2 linked regions of the Mytilus edulis genome follow. The protein of the gene in region 2 purifies or fractionates together with the protein of the main gene of each other region. This does not show direct contact. Links are inferred from orthologs where the notes say so. Each region holds a gene or a part of one and is shown on either strand. Other genes may lie near its edges.

Evidence for each region.
Region 1: the proteins of cell division cycle 5-like protein (region 2) and pre-mRNA-splicing factor SPF27-like purify together in Homo sapiens (co-immunoprecipitation; 8 studies listed by BioGRID and IntAct, with this or other methods). This does not show direct contact. The link is inferred for Mytilus edulis from reciprocal best matches to the Homo sapiens genes CDC5L and BCAS2.

Annotation. Positions count from the first base shown.
Region 1 is NC_092356.1:71,257,462-71,261,303, reverse strand, and holds the start of pre-mRNA-splicing factor SPF27-like, read right to left. Parts: upstream 2,618-3,842; 5' UTR 2,554-2,617; coding exon 2,479-2,553; intron 1,525-2,478; coding exon 1,432-1,524; intron 323-1,431; coding exon 252-322; intron 1-251. UniProt on the Homo sapiens protein: Required for pre-mRNA splicing as component of the activated spliceosome. Component of the PRP19-CDC5L complex that forms an integral part of the spliceosome and is required for activating pre-mRNA splicing.
Region 2 is NC_092353.1:26,600,811-26,604,410, forward strand, and holds the start of cell division cycle 5-like protein, read left to right. Parts: upstream 1-1,194; 5' UTR 1,195-1,304; coding exon 1,305-1,349; intron 1,350-3,600.

The DNA.
Region 1 (3,842 bases), on a different chromosome or scaffold from region 2:
ATTAATGGAGGAATATACAAGAAACTGAACTGAACCTGTCAAAATATAAAAGGGGTTTAAAAGAATACTGCATGAAGATGTTGGTTTAAACCTAATCATTTGAGTCTGTAGTGTGTGTATTGAACCGCTAGTGTCAATTTAACTCATAACATTTACAAAGTCTGAAAGACATCAACATTTCTTGTGGATATTCTAAATATTTCTTTTTTAATATACATTAAATGTAATTTTGATTAAAACAAAATGTAAACCTTTTCATGTTCAACATATCCATAGGTAACCGTGACTGCATTCTTTCATACTCTGTTTTCATTATCTCTGTCTGAAAAAACAACAAATAAAGCATTTTTATAAAGTGACTGAAAACAAAATTTTCGCTTGAAAAAACATGAATGATTTACAACGTAACTGCCTATCAAAAATAACCATTGTATCTCTATGTCATGTTCCTTTCACAAATACTGCACTCATGTAGGCTGTAAGAGTGGCTTTTATTTCTTTGAACATTTATTGCAATATGAATGTTGGAGATGAATATCATCGTGTTTTACCTTGTCCACCAAATACAATGAAATAGATCTTTTCTAATAAAAAATTTACCTAAATATTACTATTCATGGCCAAAGTAAAATTATGTTGATTCATTGCACTGAGCCACTCGCATTGTTAATCTGACAGTAAAACTATGTATTTATTTAAAAGCCGCTTAGAAAATTGTATCATATATATTCTTGAAATAGTATTGTATAACATATTACTTCTGTTCATTTTTGTATATGTTTGTTTGCAATGTTCTTTAGACTTTACAATAGATTATCTAAATTTTAAAAATAAATAGGATGCTTCTCGGCTACAATCTCAAAGAATGGCTAAAAAGACTTCCTTTGAGTTGGAGGACCATAGCTATATAGATATAAAAAAAGATGTGGTATGACTATGATTGCCAATGAGACAACTCTCCACAAAAGACTAAATGACACAGAAATTTACAACTATGGGTCAGCTTACGGACTTCAACAATGAGTAAAGCAAATACTGCGTTGTAAGCTATAAATCTGATAATCTGTATTTTCATAGGCAATGTCATTGACACATGCTTATGGTACCAGAGGGTTTTCATTCTACTCAACTTCAAATTTTTTTTCAGTCATGTAGCTTTAAATGAAAAATTACCAAATAAAAAAATTTAAGTTTAATCTACCATGTCTACTGTATACATCATTATTTGCCACAGCATGAATATTTAATGCAAATAATGTATTCATTCATGAAGGGGGATAGGACCTTAATCGGGACTCCGGGATCGGGTGTTTCAGGATGTCAGGATTTAAATTATATTATTTACTCCCCCCCCCCCCCCCCCCAATTCATACCTCAAACTAAATACATTTTTAGAGCAGGTAAAATTTCTAAATATATTTTTGTAATTACCTCGAACTGTAGATAGTTAGGAGCAGGTAAGTATTCTAGATAATTCTTTGTAGGTCTGTATCTTCTGGTTTCTTCATCAACCAAAGCAAGAGCCTAAAATTAAATTATACAACACATAAAAATGAGGCACAAAATTTAAGCCTAGACTTAATTCCTTAAGAAAAATTGTGATTTTTATATTGAAATGTCCAAGGATTCTAATCAAGGAAGTTTGTTTTTCTGTTATCTTTTAAATTATTCCTTTATCGATTTTAAGTATCAAATCATCAAATATAAAAAGGCGTCAAAACAAAATAAAGAAAGTAGCCTTTAACGGGGGCTGTATTAGTCAGATTCCCGTATCCCGCTTTAATACACTATGTACGTAAGCAATTCTTATTTTTTGGTTATTTCCTGTGACCCACTAGAATTCATTTCCCGTTTTCAAAGCACAATAATTTGACTTTCACATGTCACACTTTATGTTACCAGACAGCATGTATATTGACTGAGCTAATGAAGTACTTTCTTAGTTCAACTGCTTACGGCTGACTAAGGATCTACCATATCACCCTTCCCCCACCTCCAGAAAGTCTAGTCATAATACCATTATAACTCTAACACATATACAAATGTACCCTAGATAGAATTCTTCTCTTACCACTGTGGGTTTTTTTAGTTGGGCGCTAATGTAACTCGGTCTGCAGAGACACAGGCACTCATCTCCGAAAAAAAATTTCTGAGACGAGTGCCTGTGTGCAGATCTAGAGAGTATACAATTCATTACAAAATTGCTCGTCTCGACTCCCACTGGGACATCTGTGTTACAAATACAAGGCAGTTCAACTGTATCAGTTCCAGGCAGAGCATATACCGAGTAAGCTATAGAATTAAATTACTTCCTTAGCAAAATATATTTATATAATTATATATATATTTTTTTTACTGCATAAATAATTGCGACTTCTCACGTGTATGAAGTTTTAACTTGAGAGGCCATTATAAGTGGGTCATGAATGAATAAACAGTAATTTGTATTTAATTTGTATTATCTTTGATTAAACTTACGGCTTCTCGAACACCTGGTTCGTCATATCCTTGGTCAAAATAAGGTAAGGCATCGACAACAACTTCTCCAGCCATTGTATACTAAGGGGAGATAACTTAATATTTCTGCTATCTCGGGCCATAACAAACTCGGCCTATAACAAATTCGGCCCAACCCATACAATCGGACTATAATAAGCTTTGACTATTACGACCGTTAAATCAGACAATAATTATGATGATGGGTGCTATTTACTTCATTTGAACACAATGAATAGTAACAACCAAAATATGCACATTCAATTTTTTTTTACTATTTTACTTTAAGACGAAATCATTCCATTCTTAAATTTACGGATGCCATCAGGAGTTGGTTGACCTTTATGGAATATAAGTTTCACAGATGTATGATTGCAGATGTGTCCCATATGTCGTAACTACAATCTTTTCCCTTTTTCACAAAATTTTCCTAACAAGTAGGACTTGTTACAGGGTTTGTACTAACATGAACGACACAATGGGCGACACATGTGGAGCAGGATCTGCTTCTTCTTTCGTTAATCAGCAACGGAAAAATAGCATCACGCTGATGCTGTGTCATCAAGTGCAGGTGCTGTACAATTTGTGATCAACAAAACCGAAAAGTAAATACTGTTACCCTTCCAGAACACCTGAGATTACATCAGTTTTTGGTGGGGTTCATGTTGCTTAAGTCTTTAATTTTCTATGTTGTGTGTTTTATGTACCATTGTGTTTGTCTGTATATCTTTTTCTTTTTAGCCATGGAATTGTGAAGTATAATTTTGATTTATGGGTTTGAATGTCTCTCTGGTATCTTTCGTCCCTCTTTTATTGTGTTTTGAATATTAGATAGTTTATGCAGTACGTCAGCTATTTTTTTATTGCATGGTATAAAAGCTGTTCGGCAGGGTTCATCTGACATATTTCTAATTTTCATCACCCATGATAGATCAATGATAAGTTTTTTCTGGTTGTCTGTTTTTTTAGATACTACATATAACTAATATACCTAGGCTGACTTTATTTAATGTATGAAATGATTGATTGATATTGATTTTGGTGTTTTAACACATTTCTTTTGGGCTATTTGGTGGTGGTCAGTTTTTATTGGTGGATGAAGCATAGAAATCCACAGACTTTGGATAGGAAAACTGCAATTCTTGTCAATTAAGATTGGAGTCAAGTCCACCTGCACGAGCAAGGTTCAAACTCACATTAGAGTTGACTGGCTAGTGATTACTGTGGTAACAATTTAGACCACTTGACCACTGAGGTCCCATGAAATGATTGAATTGTTCACATGTCTGGCAGGGTTTCATCTGATCTTACCTTGTCATTTACATAAACCCAATCTGTTTGAGTCT
Region 2 (3,600 bases):
AAATAAAAAACAACAGCAGAGGGTCACCAACAGGTCTTCAATGTAGCGAGAAATTCCCGCACCCGGAGGTGTCCTTCAGCTGGCCCCTAAACAAATATATACTAGTCCAGTGATAATGAACGCCATACTAATTTCCAAATTGTACACAAGAAACTAAAATTAAAACAATACAAGACTAACAAAGGCCAGAGGCTCCTGACTTGGGACAGGCGCAAAAATGCGGCGGGGTTAATTATGTTTGTGAGATCTCAACCCTCCCCCTATACCTCTAACCAATGTATAAAATATTTGTTCCATCAGGTACAGGTATTATGACATTGTTTATAACAAAGTTTCCACTGGAACTTCTATTAGGTGGAACAAATATACGTTGACAGGAACTCTGGTAACCGTTGCGCTTTTCATTTTTTTCTTCCAGAATTATTCAAATGCTGATATTTCATATTCAACTTATTTTGCCTTTTGAGGACAGACCCCAAATTTGTACGATATAGAACCAGTCATATTTGAAAAAGAGAAGCAATTTCTGTATAATAGAATCAAATAGATAGTTGGCCAATGGACTATCATTAAGATGTTTCATTCAAATATGAATCATATGATCATGCAGGTATTTTTCAAATGTTTTGATTAAGAAACTGCAAAGTAATCAAGGGGGCACAGTGATGGTAATGGCTCACATGATGCCTTGAGCTCAGAATAATTTATTTGCTATGCATTCAACCTGAGACTACTATGTGTTATAGTCTCAGATAATTTTTTTCAACTGTTCAAATTGATTGTGGCCACCTCATCTGCAATGATTCTAACAGGAAGATGAGGTGACCATCCTGAACTACGTTTTTTCCTGTAAAAAAAATATGTTCTTTTATACTGTATTTGTATCTGAGAAAGGATTGGGAAACGATGTGTAAACAATCCGGCTGCTTATCCAGCTATTTTCAAAAAGGCGGGGAAATATCGTTCGATTCTCTCTAGACTTTCTATTAGGCTGCAGAAGAATAAAGTGTTCATTTTTAGCATGTTACCAAAATAAAATGTATTTATCGAATTTTGTTCTTAAAATGATTAATTTTGGTTATATTAAATATCAGAACTATACAAAATATATGAAGAATAATAAAACTGTACAGAAATGCAGTCAATCATCATATATAGAGTTGTGTATCTAAAATATATTCGTGTCCGTTGTTAATTTTGGTTATTAGCTAAATTTATTATACCCAACGTTATTGGAAAAAAAAACTTTTAGACAATTACATTTTAGGCACCTTTTACAGAGATCTAAGAAGTGAAAGGCCAAGATGCCGAGAATTATGATAAAAGGAGGTGTTTGGCGTAACACGGAGGTAAATGTCCATACATTATTGGAAGTTTTTTACTCTTTTTAATATACATTAATGATTTTCCAGAATACCTGGAACACAGCAAACTACGACTCTTCGCTGATGACAGTATTATATACCGAGAAATAACATGTCAACAAGACTGCACAAATTTACAAAAAGATCTTAACGCAGCAGCGAAATGGGAGGCTGATTGGCTCATGGCCTTCCATCCTGGAAAATGCACTATCTTAACCATCACACAAAAAAAACAACCATTTAAACACGATTACATCCTTCATAACCATACTTTAGAACTAGTAACATCTGCAAAATATCTTGGCGTAACCCTACAGTCTAACTTAAAATGGAACATTCACTACAACAACATCGTATCAAATGCAAATAAATCTCTTGGCTTTCTTAGGCGAAACTTAAAAATTTCTAACTCCAGTATCAAATCCCGTGCTTACCAATCAATAGTGAGACCAAAACTCGAATATGCCTGTAGTCTATGGGATCCACACACAGCAGATTATAAAAATAAGCTAGAAATGGTACAGAGGCGTGCGGCCCGATATGTATGTAACAATTACCACAACACCAGTAGCGTTACATCCATGTTAAACGAACTACAATGGCCCTCACTCAGTGAGCGCCGCCTCAAAACCAGACTTATCATGTTCTACAAGGTCATCCATGGACTCATTGCAATCCCATCACTAGTCCTCATACCATCAGATACTAGAACAAGAAAATGACATACTCAAACATTTCGGCAAATATCCACCTCTAAAGACAGCTACAAATGGTCATTCTTTCCGCAAACAATCATTCAATGGAACATGTTGCCACAAGTTGTGGTAGCAAGTCAAACCATTGAAATTTACAGAGATCAGTTGACACCAACTGTTCTCCACAACATAATTTAATTCTATAAATAACAATGTACATATTTTTTAATCACTTGTTGTTTTCTTTCATGTAAATATCACCAAGTATTCTACTAAGTTAAAGATAAATTTTTGTTCATATTTTTTAATCATATACTCCGCGCATGCAACAGTTCGTAATCTTCAATAATAATGAAGCTGTAACTGTATATCAGAAGAAGAAGAAGAAGAAGAAGTTTATCAGTTCACACACGCTTACATTTTTGTTTTACAACAGTGCATGTTTTTGTTTTGGCGTTTACATCAAACATTCTTAATATTGATACTGTTGTATAAGGGTGGTAATGGACATGACGAATAACAGTTAAAATTGTTGCCAAATGACGTTAACAGTAATTTTTGGTGCATGACGATTAAATGTGCACTTTCTTTTTTAGACCATGTAGACAATAAAAAAATAAAGATTTAGTTGATCACGTTTATTTATTTCCAAAAATAACGGTAACGTTAATTATTTGAGCCCTCTGACGAATCACAATAAGGATATTTTTACAAATCACAGTAAAATTTTAATCAATTTGACGCTAACAGTAGCCGAAAATTGACAGTTGACGCCTGACTGTAAAGGGCATTACTACCCAGTTGTATGTCTAGTGATATTTCTGTAGCAGGCTACCTTTTGATATACTGTAATGACTATGTTGGAATCTGCAACACTGAACCTCAGAATTTGTGAAAAATTCACCTTTATGTGGCTTCTGATTCAAAAGATATCTCTTGCAATGTCAAGGACAGGCAGGTACATGTAAATATCGACAAATGTATTAAAAAAAATCCAACCATTCTTACATGTATGTAAAAAATGGTGGATTAATATAAGAGTAAGAGTAAGTTATAGTTATGCTGTTTCTACAGCATGGTCAACAGTAAATTGATTAGTAAAATTGAATAAAGAAATGGTGAATATGTCAAAGAGACAACTACACGACCAAATAACAGCAGAAGGCCACCAATGGGTCTTCAATGCAGGGAGAAAATCCTGCACTTGAGGTGGGCATAAGCTAACCCCTAAATAAAAATGTGTTCTAGTTCAGTGAAAACTTCAAAACATATAAATGAACAAAAAATAAAAAACATTCAAGACAAACAAATTAAAGGCCAGAGGTTCCTGACTTGGGACTGAAGCAAAAGTGAAGAACACACAGCAATACCAACATTAAAATTCAGTTTATAAAATGCCTTTTAGTACTTAAAAGTAGGCCAGTTTAATGGGAAAAACTTATGTTAAACCAATGATATAAAGTATGCAATTGTATAATCATTCATTGACACTTTTCATTTCTATAGAAATCAATTGACCCTGCTCCTCAGTCATGGCCTAT